Linked DNA regions of Drosophila melanogaster. The protein of the gene in region 2 interacts with the protein of the main gene of each other region in a pairwise test. Each region holds a gene or a part of one and is shown on either strand. Other genes may lie near its edges.

Region 1 (7,059 bases), on a different chromosome or scaffold from region 2:
AACCAACCACCAATAAGACAACAACTAAGAAGACGACTCATGAACCCACAACTAAGAAATCAACTACTTTAAAGCCTACCGAAGAACCAACTACTCGCAAAACGTCAACCACAAAGACTACTAGAGAGCCAACTACAAAGAGGGAAACAACTGAAAGGACAACTCAGGAGCCAAGCACCAGTAAGACAACAACCCATGAGACAACAGCAGAACCAGCAACCAAAAAGACAACGCATGAACCCACAACTCAGAAATCAACAACTTTAAGGATTACTGAAGAACCAACTACTCGGAAATCATCAACCGCAAAGACTACTAGAGAGCCAACTACAAAGAGGGAAACAACAGAAAGAACAACAAAGGAGCCAACCACTCGTAAGACAACAACCCATAAGACAACAGAAGAACCAACCACCAAAAAGACAACGCATGAACCCACAACTAAAAAATCAACTACTTTAAAGCCTACCGAAGAACCAACTACTCGCAAAACGTCAACCACAAAGACTACTAGAGAGCCAACTACAAAGAGGAAAACAACAGAAAGAACAACAAAGGAGCCAACCACTCGTAAGACAACAACCCATAAGACAACAGAAGAACCAACCACCAATAAGACAACAACTAAGAAGACGACTCATGAACCCACAACTAAGAAATCAACTACTTTAAAGCCTACCGAAGAACCAACTACTCGCAAAACGTCAACCACAAAGACTACTAGAGAGCCAACAACCAAGAGGGTAACAACTGAAAGGACAACTCGGGAGCCAACCACTCGTAAGACAACAACCCATAAGACAACAGAAGAACCAACCACCAAGAAGACAACAACTAAGAAGACGACTCATGAACCCACAACTAAGAAATCAACTACTTTAAAGCCTACCGAAGAACCAACTACTCGCAAAACGTCAACCACAAAGACTACTAGAGAGCCAACTACAAAGAGGGTAACAACTGAAAGGACAACTCGGGAGCCAACCACTCGTAAGACAACAACCCATAAGACAACAGAAGAACCAACCACCAAGAAGACAACAACTAAGAAGACGACTCATGAACCCACAACTAAGAAATCAACTACTTTAAAGCCTACCGAAGAACCAACTACTCGCAAAACGTCAACCACAAAGACTACTAGAGAGCCAACTACAAAGAGGGTAACAACTGAAAGGACAACTCGGGAGCCAACCACTCGTAAGACAACAACCCATAAGACAACAGAAGAACCAACCACCAAGAAGACAACAACTAAGAAGACGACTCATGAACCCACAACTAAGAAATCAACTACTTTAAAGCCTACCGAAGAACCAACTACTCGCAAAACGTTAACCACAAAGACTACTAGAGAGCCAACAACCAAGAGGGTAACAACTGAAAGGACAACTCGGGAGCCAACCACTCGTAAGACAACAACCCATAAGACAACAGAAGAACCAACCACCAAGAAGACAACAACTAAGAAGACGACTCATGAACCCACAACTAAGAAATCAACTACTTTAAAGCCTACCGAAGAACCAACTACTCGCAAAACGTCAACCACAAAGACTACTAGAGAGCCAACTACAAAGAGGGTAACAACTGAAAGGACAACTCGGGAGCCAACCACTCGCAAGACAACAACCCATAAGACAACAGAAGAACCAACCACCAAGAAGACAACAACTAAGAAGACGACTCATGAACCCACAACTAAGAAATCAACTACTTTAAAGCCTACCGAAGAACCAACTACTCGCAAAACGTCAACCACAAAGACTACTAGAGAGCCAACTACCAAGAGGGTAACAACTGAAAGGACAACTCGGGAGCCAACCACTCGTAAGACAACAACCCATAAGACAACAGAAGAACCAACCACCAAGAAGACAACAACTAAGAAGACGACTCATGAACCCACAACTAAGAAATCAACTACTTTAAAGCCTACCGAAGAACCAACTACTCGCAAAACGTCAACCACAAAGGCTACTAGAGAGCCAACTACAAAGAGGGTAACAACTGAAAGGACAACTCGGGAGCCAACCACTCGTAAGACAACAGCCCATAAGACAACAGAAGAACCAACCACCAAGAAGACAACAACTAAGAAGACGACTCATGAACCCACAACTAAGAAATCAACTACTTTAAAGCCTACCGAAGAACCAACTACTCGCAAGACATCTACCACAAAGACAACCAGAGAGCCAACCACTCGGGAGACAAGCACATCGGTTAAGACAACAGCAGATCAAACAACAAAAAGGACGACAGCTGAAATGAGTACAACAAATCAGGAACCAACATCCGTAGAAACTACTACCAATTCATCGAATCAGAGCAATACGACCACGGAATCAACCACCACCGAAGAGCAACATGTTCACCACCATCATCACCATATTCATTATCACAAACCCGCTGATCTCGGTCCATCAATTCTTCCACTTCCTGATCTTCCTCCTCTCCCGTTGCCCCTGCCCTGGCCCCCACTGCCACTTCCTGAAATCCCTCTACCTTTGCCTCCTTTACCAACAGCGTTGCCTCCGCTGCCCCCCCTACCACCTTTGCCACCTTTGCCGGAAGTAAATTTAACAGCAATATCCTTACCAGAAATTTCCCTTCCAAATTTGCCACCACTACCACAATTGCCGAATCCTTTCCCAAACTTCTTTTGGGGTCGTTAAACACTAAAACCATTAAAATTGTATGAACTTACATATTATAAATGTGCCATTAAATATATATTTATATAATATACAATTATAAATAATTTATAAATTTAATTATTATATTTTTCAACTTATCTTTAAGAAGAGCAAAATGGATCTTCGTCTTCAAAAACAAGACCAAAAATTGGGCTTAAAAAGAAAATCGCTTTAATGTAAAAAGCCCTGAACACATATATCTAATTCATTTCGTCAAACTCTTAAAACTATTAAAAAAAAAAACATGTTTAAATTCTGAAATTTTTACACAGTATTTTGTAAGTAACTTGACATAATTTGAAATTCATCATTTAAATATTTGTATATATATCGATTTCCCATACGATATTATGCTTATCGATGGTATCGGCACTATCGTAAGTGATTGCCCCAGCTCTAAGCGGATGGCTCGGCCATTTCGTTTTTGTCTTCACCCCAATAAAGTTGATAGACCTACAAGTAAGCATTTTCGGTTGGATTATGTGGGAAATAAATGGTGTTTAATTTAATCAGCATGCGCCATACCACAGTCAGAGTTTTGATATATGCTAAAAGCTAGCTAAAAGTGTAAAAATCCAAGTGATGGGTTGTATCTTTCGTAAAAATCAATTGTCCCTTTGGGGGACACCACGTGTTCCAAAATGGCGACTATATGTAGTAGGGTTAACACCTTTACTTTATTTTGCGGTAGTCACTATGAGACTTGCGGCTAAAGATTAGGTATCTGGCTTGGGAGCAGAAAATCTTAGGATTTACAATAAAAAACGTGAACCTAACCTATTTTTTTAACTCTCTTTCAGAATGGCGGACGAAGCTCCAGCCCGTAGTGGATTCCGTGGCGGATTTGGCTCTCGTGGTGGTCGTGGTGGACGCGGTCGTGGCCGTGGACGCTGGGCCCGTGGACGTGGAAAGGAGGACTCCAAGGAGTGGGTGCCAGTGACCAAGCTGGGACGCCTGGTGCGCGAGGGCAAGATCAAGTCTTTGGAGGAGATCTACCTGTACTCGCTTCCCATCAAAGAGTTCGAGATCATCGACTTCTTCCTGGGATCCTCGCTGAAGGATGAGGTGCTGAAGATCATGCCCGTCCAGAAGCAGACCCGTGCTGGTCAGCGTACCCGTTTCAAGGCCTTCGTTGCCATCGGCGACAACAATGGCCACATTGGTCTGGGCGTTAAGTGCAGCAAGGAAGTGGCCACCGCCATCCGTGGTGCCATCATTCTGGCCAAGCTCTCCGTGGTGCCCGTGCGCCGTGGCTACTGGGGCAACAAGATCGGCAAGCCCCACACCGTGCCCTGCAAGGTCACCGGCAAGTGCGGTTCCGTCTCCGTGCGCCTCATCCCCGCTCCCCGTGGTACTGGCATTGTCTCGGCCCCCGTGCCCAAGAAGCTGCTGACCATGGCCGGTATTGAGGATTGCTACACCTCGGCCCGTGGCTCCACTGGAACCCTCGGCAACTTCGCCAAGGCTACATATGCCGCCATCGCCAAGACGTACGCGTACTTGACCCCCGATCTGTGGAAGGAGATGCCTCTGGGCTCCACTCCTTACCAGGCATACTCGGACTTCCTGTCCAAGCCCACTCCTCGTCTGCACGCCGATGCCTAAGTGAACACTTTCGAGGCCAATCAATCCAGAGTTTTTGAATAAAGTCATAAACTTTTAAATGTAATCGCTTCGTGTTTGTTATTGTTGTGGACATTGGTCGATTTGGAGATTCTGTTGTAGTTAAACTATTTGTAACTTAATAGAACTTATGTCTCCTTTGTTGATCCAGACAATGCAGTAAAAGCATTCTACTAAAAAACAACAGGAAATACGAAACGCATTGCTTGCTGCTTACATGTAAGAATATATTTAAAAATGTACACTTAGGATAAGAAGTAAAAAAGGTCTACGCCTTGACTCCATACGCTTCTGGCATACGCTCAATCGCGTACTTATGCGCAGCCACGTACATGATGGGCACGCCGGGAATCTTCCGGATGCGATTCTTAAGGTCCTTGTCGTTGGTGGCCACAATGTAGCATTTGTGCTGGCGCACCCGCTCCACGAGGCAATCGTCCGCATAGGTGCCCTTGTGCAGGCACGGCAGTCGCTCGAATCTGGGATCGGAGATGATGCGCAGGGCCAGCTTGTACTTGTTGCCCAGCTTCTCCAGCTCGGCACGCACGCAGTCGGAGATATAGGGTATGCACTTGGCATACAGACAGTCCATCATACCTTGCACAATATCCAGTTTGTTCTTAATGCTAAAGTTAATGAAGTTCGTGTCCAGAACGATGTGGTACGGCGGTCCCAGCTGGGTGTTGTACTGGAAGAACAGAGCGGAGCTCTGCTGGGTGGCCTCGTGCACCTTGATCTGGTGCGGATCCTCGGCCTTCTTTCTTTTCACTCGAATCTGATCCTTAAGCCGCGCGTCTGTGGGTTTTATGATGCGTTTAAGCTGTGCATTACGTTGTTTCTTAACCTTCTGCGTTTTCTTGTGTTTTCCCTGCAAAAGAACTGAAGATGTTAGGTCGGGTTTAATTAAATATTAAAGATTTATATATACCATTGTAAGCTGTAATTCCCAAAAACTGTAAACAATATAACTTAAAAAGTGGCACACGTGTGGTAAGTATTTTGGTAAAATCAGCTGTTTGGGCTAGATCACCGAAGACAGCGATAGGCAATCGATACATCGAATTAACATATAAATATGAAAGTTTTTCATATATTAAGTATTTTATGAATGATTTAATGAAAATTAAATGGAATATCATTTATTCGGTTAAGTTAATTATTGCACATTCTTATACAATATATATCAGGCAAAAACCAAACAATTTTTCCGATACGATACTACCATGGTTGCATTCAGAGACATCGATAGTTGGCCGCCATCTTTTCACAGAATTTTTCCTTCCACGTGCGATGACGAAACTCGTTCATTTTATTTCAAGACTCGAAATGGTAAGTTGTGTGCTCTTCGTAAATAGTTTTATATCAAGTGAATTAAAGTGCTTAAATGGAAGAGTGTTATGCCTCAAATGATGAAACAGATGACGAGACTGAAGGAACAAATTCTCGACTTGGCGCTGTATTTTTCAGTGCCTCGTTATATATTTGTTCATTTAAGATGATTCGGCGATCTGATGGCATATAACTTCAAGAACTTTCTTTGGGTTTGGCAAGAATATGTTCTAAAAGTTCTGTATTTCTTGCAGTGAACAATATTGAAACCCTAAGCATTTGGATAAATCGAAATCCGGGCACTCCACGTGCATGGTGCATGTGAGACACCTCGGGACAACATGTGAGCCCGTTGAGACACCTTGGGCACTGAGCCCACTGGAGACGCCATTGTCACATTGGAGGTAAGATATTAATACTTTTGGTTGGTCTATGCTTCTCTGATGATCTTTTACACAGACCTGTACTGAGCTCATAACCGTGCAGAAAATTGTAAACTGAAACCTAATCAAATATATAAAATATTTGGAAGTACTCCTTGTACACACTGTATTGATGCCATTTTCTTTTATTTCCAGAATTTACATTCTGGTTTGAGGTTATGTATGGGTCCAGCTGCAGCAGCGAGCACATGGATTTACCGATAAAGGTAATTTATTTACACTAACATTTTTATGTTTGAATGCAATATACGTTTTACTGATGATTAACTTCAACACCTTTTGCGGTTTCCACCAGAAAGCTTCGGCTTAATGATGGTCTAAGGCGTCTGACTAAAAAGTTTCAATAAAAACTTTATTATACTTAAACTAGCATTTTACTTACCTATTTTATCTCTTGTTTCCAGATCAACTCAGAAATGTGGTTTATCGCAGGCAAATATAACTAAATGAGCTCGTTTATTCGACTGTATAAGGTAATATTTTCGAGAATTTTTTTTTTTAAATTAATAAATAAACTGATGATTACCTTAAACACCTTTTGCGGTTTCCACCAGAAAGCTTCGGCTTAAGGATGGTCTAAGGCGTCTGACTAATACAAATATATATATTTCGGCTGTCTTGAGATGATGTATTTAATATATTTTATATTTTACTTTAATTGCAGAGTGACGTTGCCTTGTGTAAAAGATCTTGATATAAAAAGAATTGGACATCTTCAAATACTAAAATAAATAAACTAATAAAATCAAATAATCACGAATTGTATATATTTTTTATTGTTATTGGGATGGTGGAAAAGAGCCGCAATTTGTTTAATCAGTTGTACAAATAAAGTATTGACCTTAGAACAAAGTTATAGATAGATAATGCTTTATAATTTGAATTTACCGTGCTTAACTAAACTGGTATTTATCGAACAATTTAGCACAATTGTAAGCGCACTTTACGAAAGTAATTTAATGAGA
Region 2 (8,686 bases):
CCCATTGCCAAACGAAACGTAAGTGATAAAGAACGCCAGCAATGAGCGAACAAGAGCAAAGCGCACGCAGTCGGGGAAAAATCAATTGATGTTATGTAAGCTCGAATAACCGGATACCGTGTCTACTACTGTTGCAGGTCCCGATTTGCTCGATTTGGAACTGGAACGGACCATGAAAACAAGCAATCTCGGCCTGTACGCTTTCCGTTTAACCTTCGGTCAGGTGAGCACACGCACATTAAACCAGGCAGCCAAACGGCAGAAACAGCATGCGCATTCTGGGGGAAACCTCTGAGTTTTTCGGCCGGGCAAACCAAGGACCACCACAATCGTCGTTGAGAATGCAGCGACTGCAGCCGGGAGACGAGTGTCTGGAGTGCCAGAGTGAAGGCAGGAATCACAAGCTGCGCTACTTTTACATTAATCTCGAGGAGCAGCTGCTGAAGTGCGAGTCCAGGAGCTGTTTGTGGCCACACAACGATGAGGTCTCCTCTGATGAAGATCTGAACTCGGAGGCAGCACTTCCCATCACTGCTCCACAATCTGAACTTTTTGAATCTCCTGCTGCTACGCTACCTTCTCACCCTGCGGCCTTAACGTCCAAACCTCCTCCAAATGATGACGAATTTATATTGGAACTGCTGCAGCAATTGACTTCTGCCACAGAAACCCCCCTTAAGACAAATGTGAGTTCCAGTTCCATGCCAAATCTGCACTCGCCTTCAGAGGAAAAACCCTGCCCACAACTGGAGCTTCCCGACTTAAGCTTTCTGGAGGAGAACAGTACCGTATGCAAGGAACCCCCACAAGCATTGAAATCAGAGCTGGGAGTACCTTCAACTGTCGTCTTACCCGACAGATTAATAAGTCCGCCCAAGGCAAAAGCAGTACAAACTGAGGACACCAAAGCCAAGGAACATGTGGCTCATCTGAAGGGAGCTACGTCCCAAAGCTGGCAAGGCAAAGCTGAAATACCATTACTACCCGCTTGTGTGAAGGCAAGTGTGAGGATGTCTCCTAGCATCAAATCTAAGGGGTCTCCCTTCAGCAGTCCGCCCAAGAAAGCAACCACCCAGCCGCAAGGTCAGTCACCACCGTCAACGCCGCCTGCCGTCAATATTATTATCAGTGTTCCGGAGTTAAACACGGGAATGAACGGCTTGTTTCTAGACGCCATTAAACGCCATTCCACAGAAGCCAAACCCGCGCTACGTGGCGTAGGGAGACGCCCTAAGCGACTGGCCAAGGGAACCACCAGCAGGGGGGGCATTCGCACACAGGATGTAATGCACTTGATCGAGCATTTGGAAACCACCACAGAAGCGAAACTTACGACACCACGGACGTAATAGGCTGGCATTTAGCTTACTCAAGTATTTGAAATAAATTTGCATATGAAATAATGCATGAAACCTCCGGATAAGAATTCAAGTTCGTTTATTTATAAACAAGTCCGTTACGCTATGTTTTTTTTTTTTTTTGGCAACTCAAATTGTGGATTACTAATTCGCGGCACGCGTCTAGAGCATGTTCAAGTGGACAGGAGAGATAGCGCTGCCGACAAGAGAGCGTGCTATCAGTGGAAGTGAACTTTGGAAAGGAGGTCGTGGCAACTGCGTCACGCGGAGATCTGTTTCAAGCCGCGATTAGCTGTTGAGCTGCAGAGACTGACTGATAATGCAGTTGAACGTCATCTAAGCGCTGTGACAGTGATTGCGATAGTGATGTCAGTCACGATAATATGGCATTACATCGACCCTTTGCAATCAGTTCAATAATCGTGCGACCATGTGGGGTAATCGCATTCGTGTGGACGGCCGGGGCACTTGAACCTAGTTGCCAACTGCCGGCGTAAATTGTTTCTGCTGCGTAGTTGCCTGTGTGGGCGGGGGCCGTCGGGCAGTGGGCCAAGTTTATTGTTTGTTTGGATTGATATATATAAAACGAGCGAAAAACTAAATTTGTCTCCCTATCTTATCTCCCGCAGGCGCCGACGTTGTCCACACAGGCCACGACGCACTGCAGCCATGGCTTCACCACCAGCTCGTCGTCGCCCAACCGTGTGGTGACCCGCTCTGCCACCATGCTGGCGCTCTTCGGCATCGCGCTGTCCTCGTTCAGCCTTAAGCAACTGCTGGCCAAGAAGCAGAAGCACCAGGGCCTGCGCAAGCTCTAGAATGGAGCTATAGCCAGAAAGATTAGAGCGATGCCAACGCCAACGGTTGAAGCGGCGATGAGGAGCCAGAGCGCCATGTCCTGAGGTCACACATTCGATATTTTCATCATCCGCCATCATCGTGTATATTTGCCTAAGTTAAGTCACCCACTCACCACAGACCCAAGCGGAACTCGGACATGGAGGCTTGTTTTGTAATATTCTGTTCGATAAACTAACTGATCGGAGGCGAGGATCTGTGCGCATATATAGATATATTTTCTTGTTTACACATGCACACCATGCGTCGCCAACTAAAAGGAATAAATTTGTGATAAATCGTGTATGAAAAAAGCCCATCGGCAGACAAACTGAACGAAGGAGCGATGGAGGAGAAGATTCGCTGAGCTTGCGGGAATCCCAAATTTTCCTATACTCTTTTGTTGCCCGTTTTAGTAATATTTATTTTATGTGTAAACAAGTCTATTATATACGTATATTTATTTACAAGTTATTTGCAAACCAGAGAAACGACTAAGTAGGGAGGTATAAAACAATAATGACTTCGTTGGACTGCAGATCGCCGAGCAGGCTGTGTCAGTATCCAAGAAACAAACTAGTTCTAGTTCCGTATTCAAATAAATGCATTATATTCAATTCGAAAATATTGATTTTTATTTCTAGTTTCCGTTAAAACATGCATGCTAAAGCACATATGAATATTAAGCCAGCACCTAGAGGTTATGAATAAAACATTTTTAACATTTTCCTATAGTTCCTAGTCTAATATAAAAAATAATTATTTGTTCCTCGGGTTAGTGACTCGTTGATGATTTGCGTGAAAACTAAGTACTTTAAAAGAATCAACAGCATAACATAAACTTTCGGCTGTCAAGGCCTAGATACTCTATACCCTTGAAAAGTTATATTTACGTTAAAATAGCTTATCCACCATCCGTAAGTTCGCTGTAAATCCCCAATCTATTGAATAGTTTCTTTTTTCTTGTTTATGCAAATAAATACTTTAATTCCCAAAAAATAATGTTGTGGTTATTAATAATATTAATATTAATAAGCCAACATATTATCTAAAAATATATAATATATGGTTCGCCTAAAATTCTTTAATTTCTTTATCACTTCTAAAATAATAAAGTGCCAAGGACAGTTTCCGAAGAATTGCTTTAGCAATTGCATTTCATTGTAGAGGCGTTAATGTCTTGAATTACATTTTTAGGACATTTATATGGACAGCACATAAACGTGTTTCAACATCCGAAGGTTCAAAAAATTTAGTTTCAGCTTCAAAAATCCGCATTTGAATTTTGCGCCACATGTGACAAAAGTATTGCGCAGCGGCGGCACCACAGCTGCACGGATTTCCGCAGCGCTGAGCGAGGGTCACACTGGAAGGGTAAGCACCTCACCCCCCCGCTCAATGATCAAGTGACGTGCCACCAATATAACCATTGGCCGGCCAACAGCACTCTTTCGACTGCGGAATGGGCATCAACGTCAGCAGGACGGCCGACCTGGGGTCCAACCAGTGGCTCCAGCGCTTCGTGGGCCGCCAGCACATCGCCCACGATGACGAGGCCTTCTGGAACGGGCTGCTCAACTACAACATTGTGCTGCCGGAGAACAGGTGAGTGGAGTGGAACAGGAGTGGAGCAACAACGTCAGCAGGGCTAATCTCGGGCGGTTTGAAATGGTGTGTGTTTCAGTCAGGACCAGCTCAACCTGGACAGCCGGCTAGAGGCGCTGTGCCAGTCGTTCATCGGCAATAACCTGAAGACGGGCAACTTTGGCTCCCTGGTGACCGTGTTCCTGGAGAAGACCAGCGAGCTGCTGTCGCTGTCGGACCAGGAAAGCAACATGCACGTCTGGCAGACCTTCAACGCGCTCTTCATCATCCGCAGCCTGGTCAAGTACATCAACGAGACGGGCTCTGAGTTCCAGCTGCTGCAGCACTTTGAGGCTATGCCGAATGCAGAGCTGCTGCAAGCGGCATTGGAGCAGCAGCAACAGACGCCGGCGGAGAGCGCCACCATTGCCATGGAGGCCACCGAACAGTCGGCGGCGGCTGCGGTTCCAGTGATTGTGGACGGATCTAAGTTTGAGACCTTCATCGATGCCCTGGTGAACCTAATCGTCGTGATTCCCGTCAAGGAGTTCACCTACCACCTGCACCTAGAGGCCGTTAACATGCTGATCACCCTGCTGTCAGTGCATCTGTTTGCCCAACAGCCCACGGACAAGTCCATCGTGTTCCGGACGGTCTTCAAGTGTCAGCACGCAAACGTGCTGATGTCGGCACTGCTGCATTTTGTGGCGCGTATTGTGGAGGTGCCGCACACCATGTTTGGGTCCAGCTCTGCTGGATCCTTTGTCTTTGGCATCGCGGAGTCGCTGCTTTCCATCTTCACGTTCCGTAAGCAGCCAGACATACTGAAAGCGGGCCAAGCAGCCGGCGGTGGAGAGCTCTCGCAGCGATTCCGTACCCACTACCCACTGGCCAACCAGAGCCTGTTGCTGATCCTGATACTGACTAACCACTGCACGGCACAGGATAACGCCTATCGGACTAGCCTTTTCAGTTGCGCCGATTCAAAGGATTCACCAAAACAGGGAGCTGTCTCCTTCCAGATCGACTTCTCGGCGGTATATGAGACATTGTGTACCATCGTTACCATCGACCAGGCCACGCTGCTGCTCTATCTGCTGCTCCATCGCAACGAGCGCTTCTACCGGTTCGTCATGCAGCAACAGGACTTGGAGCAGTTGGTGATCCCCATCCTCCAGACACTGTACAACGCCCCCGATAGCAACTCACATCACATCTACATGTCCTTGATCGTGCTGCTGATCCTGAGTGAAGACGAGGGCTTCAACAAGAATGTGCACACCATAGTAGGTCATCTGTGCGTGCTAATAGTTGCATTACTAATCCTTTCTCATCCCTGTAGATGCTAAAAAACATCACATGGTATACGGAACGCACCATATCGGAGATATCGCTGGGCGGCATCCTAATCCTTATCGTCATCCGCACCATACAGTACAACATGCTGAAGATGCGCGACAAGTACTTGCACACCAATTGCCTGGCGGCGCTGGCCAACATGTCCGGCCACTTCCGCGCTCTACACCCTTACGTGGCACAGCGACTGGTCTCGCTGTTCGAAACGCTCGCTCGGAAGCATACGCGCCTGGATGCGCAGCTCAAGGAGCCGGCCGATAGCGCAGTGTTTGTGAACGTCTCGACGACCCCGGAAGACATGCTACAAGATCTGAGCGTGCTGGAGGAGGTGTTGCGCATGGTGCTGGAAATCCTAAACTCCTGCCTCACAAACCAGTTGGTCTACTGTCCCAACTTGGTGTACACTCTTTTGTACAAGCGCAGCGTCTTCGAGGGCTTCCGCAGTCACCACGCCTTCCAGGATGTCATCCAAAACATAGACATGGTATGCGCACTAGTTCCGATCCGATTATGCGATGTGTCTCATGCTGTCTTCGTTTTCAGGTTGTCGGTTTCTTCTCCTCGCGTCTGCAGCGTGTCCAGGAGCAGAGAGGCGAGCTTGGGGTCAATGAAGTGCTCGAGGTTATATCTAAAGGTGCCAGTCAGTGGTCCAGCGATCGACTGAGAGTAAGTAATCCGCTCGATGAGTTACTCACTCAAATCGCAGGCTCACTTATTCTTTTTGTGTTTATCCTGCAGAAGTTCCCGGATCTTAAGTTTAAGTACGTCGAGGAGGACGCTCCCGAGGAGTTCTTCATTCCATATGTGTGGACGTTGGTCTGCAAGTACGGCTGCGTGCACTTCAGCTCGGAGAGCATCAAGAGCGTGACCACGGACATAGCCTGCTAATATTTACTGCTCTATCCCTTCCTCTCACGCACACACCCGGCTCCGCTTTGGTTTCCACCATGTTTCGATGCTTCTCCGTTTGTCTTCTGTGCGGGATTACCCGATCTTTAAGCCATATACCACGCCCTACCTTTTGATCCAACCCAAAATGTCGAAATGCAGTATCAAAAACAAAACAAAGCAAGAGAAATGTTGCGCTAAATAAGAGGCATGCGCATCTCGAACGTTGACGACAAGAGGAGACAAAGCAAACGAGAGAACTAACGATAATACATAGACATAGCTACGCTTATACTAATGTGTATGTTAACAAGCAATCCGGTCGGAAATTGTTGTTCAAGTTAAAATATAGCAACCTTGAAACATGATCATATTTTGCCAAGCCGACTGCAATGAGCATGTTTAGAGGGAAGTTAAGCTCCGTACGCCTACAGATCGATGTTCTAATCAATGGGAAGCAGCAAATCCAATAAAAAGTATATATACATATTAAAGAATCGGAATATACAATATATGCAAAATATATTTACATTTTAGTCTATGGTAATTATATATTGTATTGTATTTAGCAATTGAAAACGTCGATAAACTATATATTAACTAAAGTTAACGCTCTTGTGTTTTTTCTTCTGTCTATGGCAGCCTTTAGTGTTATCTGCGGAAAGCCCAAATTTATTTGGGTTGGTTTTTATCAGAACAAGAATGTGATTAGATCTTCTTTGCAATTCGTCATCGGAACGTGGCAGTGTTTTATGAAAAAAGTAGTTGGTCTTTTGAAATGGATTTATCATTAAAAACGAAGTTCACTTCTTGGAAAGAATTCAGTGTTGAGAAGTATTGGTTAGTCATATTACTTCAAGATTCATTGGGTTCGTATTTGGTCAGTTTATTTTAAGCTAAATATCCACATATCCCAATGGGTATTCATTATATTTCGCCAAAGAAATATCGCCAAACGGAAGCTTCAAATGAAGTTTCCTTTATTACGTATACGCCGGGTAAACAATGCTTAAGCACCTCTTCTCCCGTTTATCATTTCCACTACGCATACGGGCTTCGCTGTTTGCACTTCATTGTGCATATTTGCACTATCGGCTGCAACAACAACGATGATGGGCTGGCTGCCTTGTTTATTGTTTATTACTACTGCTACGTTTTTTTCCCACCACCAGCTTCATCGGCTAAATATGTGACTAAAAAGCCGCGGGAAAAACGACGAGATGACTTTTACTGCCTGCTTACATTGGGGTTCGTTGACTTGAACGGCTGGGCGGTAAAGGGGGCTGGACTTGGAGGATGGGGGCTCAATCCGCTGAAGGTTTTGTTGTGGTCTCGTCGCTGTTGCTGCACTCTTGTCAGCTCTGCGTACGTGTCTTAAATAAGCAAGTACACAAATAACAACGCACAGGTTAGTATTGCGATAAAAATTGCATTTGTTTTATCGCCGCCGAAAGGCGGAAAATTTGTTATTGTGAGCTTTTCATGGCGTGCTGCATTTTAATTCACTTTAGCCCACAACAAACGGCGAAAATTTTTCAAATTTCTTTTGGACCCCCCTTCCCCCATTTTGCCATTAGTTTTCCATGCTGGCTAAAAAGGTTTATTGACTTCGGGCCGCGTTTTGTTAGCCATTTGTATTGTGCTGCCAATTTCCCAATTGATAGAATTTGCCAGAAGCTTAGCCGAGTTCGCAACCCTCGGCCTGCCATTGCGAAAAACGAATATCGAAAAGTGGCAAAGAAAACTCGAAAAGAGTTGCGCATGCGCACACTTGATTGGCGCTCTACCCCCTCCCACTCCCCGCTCCAATTGTGGTTTGTTGGGCAAATTTCAGCGCAAATTAGTTAAACCAACTTAATAAGTAATAACAATGATTGGGTTTAACGCGATACAGTTGTTAAAGGTCGGAAATGAGCAACTAGTGCACACTCTTAACTGGAAACATTCTTCAAAATGGCCGCCAATTTAGTAAGCTGCTTTATACAAAAGGCAAAGCTTGAAATGGTATTAGGATTTCATGAATGCGTAAATGCATATAATTGCGCTTTTATCAAAAGTAATACAAAATAATAATATGTATAAGGACTACCTATCTTATAGGTTAAGATAAATGTAAAAGTAACGGCTGTACATGTACTCCATTCATAGCTTAACAGCCTAAAAATAGCTTTCTACTTCAAATTTGTTTGCCATTCCATTGAATTTTAAAAATTTTATTTCCTTATATGACTATTTTATTGCAATAACGTGGTGTTATTATTGACCAATGTTATTTTAATCCAATAACAATGAAAAAGTTTTCAGTTTCTTATATATTTCAACAAAATTATGCTTTTTAATTTATATATGTATATATATATTAAATATGCTGTATTTTAGATACGGCTTAAGGAAACCCCATTCCCATTGTAACTTATTTCTCGGGAACGGCGAATGGGCATAAGCTAACCACCGATGGCTATTACTTTGTTGGACCACTGTCCAGGCCACTGCTCTGCAGGAGGGGATCGACCACTCCAATGGAGCTGGAGCGGCAGCCAGTTCATTTGTCGCCGCTGGGGATGGATGATGTTGCAACGTAGCGGCTGGGCCCGCATTTTCGCTTTTTGTTTTGGCAAGCGGCTTCAGGTCGTTGATCCACCGATTTTCTATTTATACCGACG
Region 3 (10,492 bases), on a different chromosome or scaffold from region 2:
ATCTCGCTCATGAGTCCACCTCGCTGGCCTTTAGTGATTTGGTGGTGCCCACTGTCATGGCCATCAAAACGTACCTTAAGGAATGCAGGAATGCCAATTATGCTCGAAAACTTAAACAGCTGCTAGAGAAGATTCAGGAGAGTGCCCGCTTCATAGAGCAGCAACGTGGCAAGAGCAGTGTCACTTTTGACATAAAGGATGCGCAGGCGGTCGCCGCCTGGGAGCAGCAACTCCGTCTTAAGCGCACTCCACTAGACGTCTACTATGCCAGCTGGCTAAAGACACACGAGACCAAGAAGCGACGACAGGCAGCACATACAGATGAAATCAATGCGGACTATGATGTGCCCAAGCTAAAGAAACTACCGGTCAAAACCGGAGTACCAGTGAGAAATGAAAACGGCGAGGTCGAACTCTTCCCCTCGGACTCGGAAGATGAAGGCGATGATGGCCTGCATTTGGGATCAGATGATGATGACGACGAGGATGTACAGGAGGAGGAGGAGGTGGAAGTTGAGCACCCTAAAGCCAAAAAGGCGAAGAAAGAGAAGCCCGAGAAACAAAAACCTCGGCCAGCAACAGTGGAAGATGATTACGACGAGGCGGGTGGAGCCGTGGATATTGTTAAGGACTTAGATTTGAACGAATGGTAAAACATTTAAGATCAATTTAACTATATTTACACATTAAATTAAAAGGAAAACCAATATAGAGTTACTTCTCCGGTGGCTCCTTGCCAGGAATAAACTCATACTCCTTGTATTTGGGAAAGGTTCCAATAGTTGGTCCGTCCACCTGCTTGGGCAGTGCCTTGTCGTCCTTGCCCTTGGCGTATGTTGCTTCCAATTCGGCGGCGTTGCGTTTCTTCATGTCCATAATCTGAAGATTTTTCACCAGCTCTTCGCGGGTGGGCGGCTCCTCCCGGCGCCCTCGTAGCCACGCCTCCCATTCGGCAGTCAGCTCCTGGTCGAAGGCTTCCTTATCCGCTGGCTCGAACCACCGGGAAGGCTTCCTCTTTCCAATCGAAGGATTTGCAGGAATTTCGTAGTACTTATTCCCGAAATAGTCCTCCCCAATGTAATCCCCACGAAACTGCCGCGGTCGTAGGGACTTCCAAAAGTTCTTGAAGATGATGCCGATCACATCGCGCGTCGGCTTGTTAGCCATGCTTATTTTAACTTAAGAGCGAGGAACTTAAATTTATTTTAGAATTTGAGGTTAGGTCTTGCGTTTGTTATGACATGAACAGCTGGTGGCGGTGTTGCAAAATGCCGGCAGGTTTAAAAGCGTAATTCAAATTCGTAAAATTGGTTTCAGTGGCAATGCATAGGGACTAAACCAGTCCCGCAGAAAAATTGCCATTAAATCTGTACGGAGACTATTATTGTTGTATTCCATGTCCTGGAGTACTAATCCAATGCCAGCTGAGTAAGTAAAATGCTCTCCCGAAAAACTGGAGGTGCCTATAAAGGCAACCCTATCGGTGACTAAGTACGAGTTGCAGTTAACTCTACCGCCGGAAATCCTCTCCAGTTCATTTGTGGTGGGTACAACAAAACGTCGCTGCAAGAGCAAAGAAATTGTTAATAAAATTGCCAATACTTATAAGCTCATTACCATTTGTATATCTACTCCTTCCGTAATTTTGTCGAGCGCTTGAAGGGACCTCAAGAAGTGATCCTCGCTGGGATCCGAATACTTCCACCATGAAATAAGCACCTTAATGGCCACACCGCGTTCCAAGGCAGCTCTACGCAGGGCATTGTCTATGACCGGCCAGTACTCCAATTTGTTACTCCGTCTTAGCCGAGGAGAGTACTCCATTAAGGAGAGGTATATAACGTCTGTGGCCTTGTCGATAGCCTCTAAAATGGCATCTAGCTCTCGGGTCCTTCCAGTAGCGATCAACTCTGGTGGTGATGTGGATAAATAAGCTCTCATTGTATGTTTTTTGTTGATGTTTAGCAAAAGCGGTCTTCTTTGATTGATGTGCGTGTGGTATATCCACGGCCAGCTCTTTGGCACTTCATTGCTGCCCAGGTACCAATACGCCTTGAAGATCTTTCCCAGATCTAGAGCAAGATGGGGACAATTTCTGGCCAGCACACCTAGTTCCTTGCGTTGCGTCAGTGATCGCCAGTCCATGCTAGCTGTGCCCAAGTAGAAGTGCTCCCCGTCCACTAACCACAGTTTTGAGTGCAGAAAATTAATGCCCACGACGTCGGCTGCTCCGTAGTTAGCCAAGATACGGGCATCAGCATGCCACAGGCTATCGTGGCTGCGATTAACCACAATCCGCACGCGCAGCTTGGGTCTGCCGGCATCTCCATTCGACAGTAGCTGCTGAAAGAGTTGATCTCCAGGCCCGGTGCTGCTATCGTTGACGTCCAAGCCGCGCAGTGTCCAGTGCGGAGAAACGATGTCCAACGATGCCTTGGCCCTGCCTAGTAGTAGCTGCCAGGCATCAAAGGTGCTACTCAGTTGGGGGTGGCTTTGCCATTGGCTGTAGTTCAACCCCAAGGGCAAGCTCTCCACCAGTTCGAGTTGACATGGTAACGGCTTTTCCACCGGAACGGGGCTGTTTCCGTTTTCATTTCGATGGTAGGTCTCCCAAGGCAACAGAAGCACAATCATCACCAGAACGAAGAGTATAAGCACTGGTATGATGTAGCCGTGCTTGCAGGAACAGATATTTCGCTCATCCTGGAGCCCTAGGCCGCAATTGGGACGCCGGCAACACGATGTGGTCAAAGGGGTTGGCTCTTCCGGTGCTCTGGGCACTGGCTGGTACTCTCCGGGTATCTCATGCACTACGCGACGCTCGGACATGGCAAGGGGATCAGGACTAATGCTGACTGGCCATTGTCAAACATTTTTCACAGCCGAGCCTATTTATTATTCGCGCAGTTGTGGGAAAGTATCACCCGCCCACGCAAACAAATGGGCAGTGTTGGACAGCACAGCGCGGTAGTCGTCTGCGCTGGCTGCTAAAAAAAAGCTAAAGGATAAATTAATCCAAGTCCCTGCTCAGAAAAATAAGTTGTCGTCAGTGCATTATTTCAGCATTTACTTCGATTTAAGTTTTAACGCCATAGAGTCCATTAATTCTCTTGAAGTTAATAAATGTTTATCGCTTTAATTCAAAACTGATAAACTTTCTATGGTCCTATTTATTTAACGACCCAATTTTGGCGGGAAACAAGCCGGCGGAACATTGCTGACGCGTATGCGTGACGCCAGCTAACACTGGTCGCCGTGGTAAAGAATTTAGTCTGTCTTAAAATCTTCCGGCTGAGAGGGCTGAAAATTTTGACGGCTTCGAAGCATTTGCTGCAATATCAATTTCGTCGGGTTTATTTCGAGTATCGCTTAATCAGGACGCGACCATGGCTGCGAGATTGATGAACGCCCAGGCACAGGTAGGTTCTAGAGCGGAGCCTGTGCCTCCAGTCGGCCAATATATAACCACGGCTATATATACGTTTACGTATAGAATCTGTGAATGGAACCCCGAAATTCCAAGCTGCGATAAAGACAACTGGACAGAGCACTGCGCGAAAGTTTACAAAAAATCATTGCCCATTTCTTACACACCCAGCAGGATGTGGGCAGCGAAAAATAGCAAATTTTTCGCACAGCGTTTTCTAACCTAAAATCATAAAATTCGAAGTGGTTAGGTAACCGAGTTCGCAGTGTTTGTGATTCTACAGGCCCTGCATCCCAAACATGTATACTGAATACGCAGCAGTGAACCATGCGAAATCGTTAGCTCTCAACAATTAACAGCGATTCGTGGGGGTTCGATGGTTGGCATAGTTGCATTTACATAATCGCCGGGGTCCAGTTATTTAACCAGGAGGCGAACACCCTCTAGAGCATATATCTTGTGGCGGAGGACCGTCTTATCTGTGACAGGTTTACTTACACTTTGATAATGCCAGCACTAAATATAGCTTAAAAAAGTTGCGCCGTTTAACTTGAGTATCACGCGCATTGGAGGAGTTTTGCCTTTCAAGTGGGGTTTTTCCACGTCAGCTTCGAGAAAGGTTTCACTGTACTCTGCCCATAAGTTAACGACCTATTTGACGTAATTGTCATTGCAATTGTTTCGATTTGCGTGTATGTACATACAGTCGTGTCGTCACGTGGTTCTTCTAATTGGAGTGTTCTGTAGAATATTGTAACAATTTGAAAGGCTTACAAACAAACTATATTTCCAGCTACTTTTTATTTTTTTATTCTGCAGTTCGAAGAACCTTAAAGCACTTTGGCTAGCACTTAAAATACTTTGATTGTTAAATGTAAACTTTCAATCATTTTACTAATCTCAAAAAAATATTTGGAAAAATTTCACTCTGAAGCGGTAAATGGATCAATGGATTATTTTTGGCTATTCAAAAATTTCAAGACGATTAAAATTTATTAGCTTTAGCAATATATTGATCTTAAAACAAGTGAAAGCGGTGATAATAATGTTTTACATTTGTTATATATGTATGCAAGATTAAATGTACAGTAAAGAAGAATTTTCACAGATATGGTCCCCACATGATTGTACTCTTGTCAGAATATCTTTGGGAATTATCATTTCCTGATAGAGGAATCAATTTAATTAAAGTGACGAGGACTCGTCCTCTTGACATGATAATCAAGTGTTTATTGGGCTACCAAGCGAATAAATAAAATCTCACAGTGTGCGAAGTGCAAATAAACTAGAGAATCACATTGTGTTAATTACTTGATCTTGATTGCTAAATGTACCACTTCACCATATTTAACAGTTCGACTTCTTATCTGCTTTCCAGGTGTGTCGACTGGGCAAGCATGTTGCGTCCGAAGCCACAGTGGTGCGTCAGTTCCACGCCTCCTGCTACACCGCCTCCAAAGTGGCTCTGTCCAAGTTCGACTCGGACGTCTACCTGCCGTACGAGAAGCTGAACAAGCGCCTGGAAGTGGTGCGCGGTCGCTTGAACCGCCCACTGACTCTCTCCGAGAAGGTGCTGTACTCGCATCTGGACGATCCCGCAAACCAGGACATCGTGCGCGGTACTTCGTACCTGCGTCTTCGCCCCGATCGTGTGGCTATGCAGGATGCCACTGCACAGATGGCTCTGCTTCAGTTTATCTCCTCCGGACTGAAAAAGGTGGCTGTGCCCTCCACTGTTCACTGTGATCATTTAATCGAGGCCCAGATTGGTGGACCCAAGGATTTAGCCCGTGCCAAGGACCTGAACAAGGAAGTGTACGATTTCTTGGCCAGCACCTGTGCAAAGTACGGATTGGGCTTCTGGAAGCCAGGCAGCGGAATCATCCATCAGATCATTCTGGAGAACTACGCTTTCCCCGGCCTGCTGATGATTGGTACTGACTCACACACCCCCAACGGTGGTGGCTTGGGTGGCCTGTGCATTGGCGTTGGTGGTGCTGATGCCGTCGATGTGATGGCCGACATCCCCTGGGAGCTGAAGTGCCCCAAGGTGATTGGTGTCAATTTGACTGGCAAGATCAGCGGCTGGACCTCGCCCAAGGATGTTATCCTGAAGGTTGCCGATATCCTGACCGTCAAGGGAGGCACCGGTGCCATCATTGAGTATCACGGCAAGGGTGTTGACTCTATCTCTTGTACAGGCATGGCCACCATCTGCAACATGGGTGCTGAGATCGGAGCTACCACCTCTCTGTTCCCCTTCAACCAGCGCATGGCTGATTACCTGAAATCGACAGGCCGTGCTGGCATTGCCTCCGAAGCCCAGAAGTACCAGGCCAAGATTCTGTCCGCTGACAAGAACTGCGAGTACGATGAGCTGATTGAAATCAACCTAGACACCCTGGAGCCCCATGTTAACGGACCATTCACTCCCGATTTGGGCCATCCCATCAGCAAGCTAGGCGAGAACTCGAAGAAGAACGGGTACCCTATGGACATCCGTGTAGGTCTTATTGGCTCTTGCACCAACTCTTCGTATGAGGACATGGGTCGCTGCGCCAGCATCGCCAAGGATGCCATGAGCCATGGCCTCAAGTCGAAGATTCCTTTCAATGTGACTCCCGGATCAGAGCAGATCCGTGCCACCATCGAGCGCGACGGCATCTCTGAGGTGTTCGACAAGTTCGGCGGTACCGTTCTGGCCAACGCTTGCGGTCCCTGCATTGGACAGTGGGATCGTAAGGACGTTAAGAAGGGCGACAAGAACACCATTGTCACCTCCTACAACCGAAACTTTACTGGCAGGAACGACGCTAACCCGGCCACCCATTGCTTTGTCACTAGTCCCGAGTTGGTCACCGCTCTGTCCATCGCCGGTCGTCTGGACTTCAACCCGCTGACCGACGAGCTTACTGGTGCTGATGGCAAGAAGTTCAAGCTCAAGGCTCCCTTCGGCGACGAGCTGCCCGCCAAGGGTTTCGATCCCGGCCAGGACACCTACACTGCTCCCCCACCCGTAAGTACATTTAAATTCCCAAACTGATTTATATTGTTCTTAAGAATCAATATGGAAATCCCACAGAGCGGCGAAAATGTCAAGGTGGCTGTCGACCCCAAGTCGACGCGTCTGCAGCTGCTGGAGCCTTTTGACAAGTGGAACGGCCAGGATCTGACCGATCTGACTGTGCTGATCAAGGTTAAGGGAAAGTGCACCACTGACCACATCTCCGCTGCCGGACCCTGGCTGAAGTACCGTGGCCATTTGGACAACATCTCCAACAACATGTTTATCGGAGCCACCAACTACGAAAACAACGAGATGAACAACATCAAGAACCAACGCAACGGTAGCTGGGGAGGAGTTCCCGACGTAGCCCGCGACTACAAGGCCAACGGCATCAAGTGGGTGGCCGTCGGCGATGAGAACTACGGCGAGGGTTCGTCCCGCGAGCATGCCGCTTTGGAGCCCCGTCACCTTGGTGGTCGTGCCATTATCGTCAAGTCCTTCGCCCGTATCCACGAGACCAACCTGAAGAAACAGGGTCTTCTGCCTCTCACCTTCGCCAATCCCGCTGATTACGATAAGGTTTGCGACTCTTAGCTTCTGTGACTAAGGTCATATTAACCATATCTTTGTACTTCAACAGATCCAGCCCACGAGCAAAATCTCCCTGCTCAACCTGAAATCCCTTGCGCCTGGAAAGCCCGTAGATGCCGAAATCAAGAATGGCGACAAGGTCGAGAGGATCAAGCTTAACCACACCCTGAACGACCTACAGATCGGCTGGTTCAAGGCCGGCAGCGCTCTCAACCGCATGAAGGAGCTGGCCCAGTAAATGGTCCTGGACCTACTTAAGACACCCAGTCAAGAAGCCTGATCCCAACCTTCTTCCTGTAGGTGAACACACTCAAATTCACAACGGAAGCAATCGAATTATGGTATTGTTATTCAATTCTTTTCAAATTGTTTATATTATATTTTGACTATATCGAGTGTGCAGCTTTAAAAGTGAATTATGTAGCCGAACGATAGCGAGAAATTGTAAGAGTTTTATATATATAATTATACACAATTTTATTTTTAATTCTGGCTATGCATGCGTTTCCTTCAATTTTTGTTCTTTTTGAATTTGTCCAAATGCTCTACAGATTGCCTCTACTATGAAACTGTTTTAAGTGCGAATAAAACTCAAGTAATATGTATTAAACCGATTCTTTCATTTAATAAACAACAGTTAAAACAAAAAAGCGGACAATAAGTGCCGTCAATTCATCCCGTGTCCTCTATATTTTCTTCATTATTAACATAATTTTATCAATTATAAGACGTAAGACACAACAATTTGCACAATAAAGCATAATATCAATAATAGAATCTACTGGGGCAGATTACTTAATTATTCACCCATAGCTTTTGGAAAATATGTCGAATTGTCAATCAAATATAAATTATTAGTAAATCCAATTCTAGGACTATGAAACGCAGAGCTCAAAGTAAAACTTCCGTTGCTTCCAGCACGGATTTCTTTTCACTCTCCGACAAGCCATCGTTGGGAAGAAGACGAGCCCTACTGGCTGCAAAACTTAAGCGTCAGGAACAGAGTACAACGTCCTTTGACTCCAGCACAGGCTCCTACACTTATACAGACGCCACTTCTTTGCGAAAGACCCCCATCACCTTCTCACCTAGCCCGGAGTTCATGAAGACCGCCAAGGCTAAATTAAAGTTAATCGCATTGTATGAAGATCACAAATGCTTGTGGAATCAGCGCAACAAAGATTTCTTCAATTTCGAGCTCAAAGACAGAATCTGGGATGCGATTGCCGATGAAATGAAAGCGGACTCGCCATCTGGGTTTTGGAAACATATGATTCACAAGCTTCGCTATAAAGTTGAGATGGAGCGCATACAAGAGCAGGGTGCAAAGTTTTCGGGTGAATCGCCGCAGCCAAAACTATTTTATTCAGATAATCTGCTGTTTCTAAATCACATGTTTGACCGAGAAGGGGGAAAACCCCCTCGAGAGATTGTATGTTTATAGTTAACGAACAAATCACTTTAGTATTTATTCTACTTTTTACTCAGCCAATGCATCTTAAGCCTTCGGGACCTACTCTCGAAAAGAATCCGTCTAGAAACCTGCGACATGTTCAGGAAAAACGTAAACGTACGCCCATTAGAGAAAAGATGGCTTCGCTTGAGAAGTTGAGGAATCTCCAAAATAGCAAGTTTGTTCTCTCCCGCGACGCTTTTCAAAAAATTCAAAAAATTACTAGTGGCGGTCCCTATTACTTGACAAAAACAAAGATTAGACCATAGGCCTTGATTTGAATATCTCAAAATAAAAAAATGCAATGCAAACACATTTGAATCGATTTTTCGCTTTATTACATTTCTTGTATCATAATCGTTTTGTTTTTCTGGTTTTGCCATTTTTTAAATATTGACGTTTTATATAACAATTCATAATTTTAGCTTACAATATTTTTGTTTTGTATTCTTAGAATCGTTTATGCCTTTTGCCATGAAAACACTTCTCTCTCTAGCAAATATACAATTTTCGAAACTTGTGATTTTGCAATTATTTATTATGTATATTATATATATTATATGTATATAACTAAAAATGCGTAAATTAATTTTTTTTTGTTTGTTACGTGGTTTGTGGGCACATTCCTTTTATCAAAAGGAACAAAACATGAAAATGTACATAAGTGTTATTGGCAAATAGTTTACCATCTGTTTTAGATCTTGATACACATACGTGCATCATCGATATAAAGAACCTGAATTGTTTTTAAATTTCGAAGCGGCAGTTGCAGTTCTGTATTTGCGCCTCATGAATTGCTCGTTTAACGTGTCTCTCTAAAAGGCAGGAGCAGCTGTGAAGTGCTCGAAGGCAAGGGTCGATCCGTCCGCCGTTGGATCTTTATCCTTCCTGACCGTCCATTGATTGGCCATTGTCCTATTATCGAGAGCCCGCCGCTTATTGGTTGGTTGATTATTTTTTCTCTCATCTATTTTTATGAAATGGCTGTTAAAAATTTTGGTTTGAACGCATCATTCCCATTCGGTGGTGCCCGGCGGCTTGGCTGTCAAGTCGTACAGCACCCTCGAGATTCCATCCAGCTTGGATATATCGCGTACAATTTGATTTAGGACCTTTGAGCAGGAAAAGATTAAATATACATTTTTCAGAAAGATTGAAAACTGACTCACTTGCAAAGGCATTTGCACGGATCCGGGCTCAGCCGGCACACCAGTCATAAAGTCGTTCGTTATGAACGGACGCAGCACTACCGACCTTCTGCACGAGGGTGTGCGGTTAATGGGATCGCGGTCAAAGTGCACGGGTATGAGAACAACAGGCATCTGCGAGATCTTCCGGTATAGTCCAGCTTGCATTATGATCTAAAACGGTTATGATATAATACATTTTATTTATTTCTATGACAAATCCACTTACTTCATTGGCAATATCATCGGCTTGCCTCAGCTGCGAAAGAACTACAGTATTCAGTGTGGTGTGCGTAATATCCGTCACTAGATACTGTACGGGTTCGCCGAAGATATAGCACACCCTGTTCACGTTGTGCAGAATTCGCGGTATGATTTTGGCGAGGAAGAGAAGATCCTGCCAGTTGGGCTCCTGGCTCGTGGATAGGCCTACTACGTAGCTATATGACCGTTTATCACCTTGCACGCCCACTGATCGGATGGGCAGCAAAGTTGCCTGGATCTGCGAGTTCGATGAGATACGCATAAGGTCTTTCTGTTCCGCCTCGCTCGTGGCCGCCGTTACGCGGTTGATCAAAGCATGGTTCTTCTGCAGTTTATTCTTGTAGTCTACAATCACGCGGATAATAACCTACAATTAAATAGTATATTTATTATAATAACTTTGACAGCAATTAATTGTTAACATGCCTGAGTTTCTGAGTAGTCCTTTTCCATGTATGCCTCCTCAGCGCAAAGGACGCGGATTGCCAGGCCAGGACCCGGAAAGGGTTGCCTCTCCACAAGCTCTTGAGGCAGGCCAAGATCATTGCCAAGGTCGCGCACTT

Evidence for each region. The genes of interacting proteins can lie anywhere in the genome.
Region 1: the proteins of CG8230 (region 2) and RpS2 interact in a two-hybrid assay, tested with the Drosophila melanogaster proteins (one large-scale study listed by BioGRID).
Region 3: the proteins of CG8230 (region 2) and mAcon1 interact in a two-hybrid assay, tested with the Drosophila melanogaster proteins (one large-scale study listed by BioGRID).

Annotation. Positions count from the first base shown.
Region 1 is NT_033779.5:9,893,572-9,900,630, reverse strand, and holds RpS2 (ribosomal protein S2), read left to right. Parts: upstream 1-3,078; 5' UTR 3,079-3,158; exon of another isoform or gene 3,159-3,419; intron 3,420-3,499; 5' UTR 3,500-3,500; coding exon 3,501-4,304; 3' UTR 4,305-4,366; downstream 4,367-7,059. Other genes in the region: Muc30E (mucin 30E), read left to right, coding at 1-2,678; Bka (bekka), read right to left, coding at 4,591-5,190, 5,251-5,253. UniProt on the Drosophila melanogaster protein: Component of the ribosome, a large ribonucleoprotein complex responsible for the synthesis of proteins in the cell.
Region 2 is NT_033778.4:8,942,243-8,950,928, reverse strand, and holds CG8230 (uncharacterized protein), read left to right. Parts: upstream 1-3,584; 5' UTR 3,585-3,657; coding exon 3,658-3,800; intron 3,801-3,879; coding exon 3,880-5,065; intron 5,066-5,121; coding exon 5,122-5,619; intron 5,620-5,678; coding exon 5,679-5,801; intron 5,802-5,873; coding exon 5,874-6,023; 3' UTR 6,024-6,631; downstream 6,632-8,686. Other genes in the region: CG8229 (uncharacterized protein), read left to right, coding at 342-1,349; CG33199 (uncharacterized protein), read left to right, coding at 173-223, 1,988-2,176.
Region 3 is NT_033779.5:21,165,386-21,175,877, forward strand, and holds mAcon1 (mitochondrial aconitase 1), read left to right. Parts: upstream 1-3,184; 5' UTR 3,185-3,386; coding exon 3,387-3,419; intron 3,420-4,805; coding exon 4,806-6,443; intron 6,444-6,509; coding exon 6,510-7,013; intron 7,014-7,074; coding exon 7,075-7,263; 3' UTR 7,264-7,799; downstream 7,800-10,492. Other genes in the region: Noc2 (nucleolar complex protein 2), read left to right, coding at 1-653; CG43346 (uncharacterized protein), read right to left, coding at 715-1,167; CG43345 (uncharacterized protein), read right to left, coding at 1,294-1,563, 1,618-2,829; CG31627 (uncharacterized protein), read left to right, coding at 7,903-8,457, 8,514-8,747; bur (burgundy), read right to left, coding at 9,489-9,590, 9,648-9,839, 9,895-10,296, 10,356-10,492.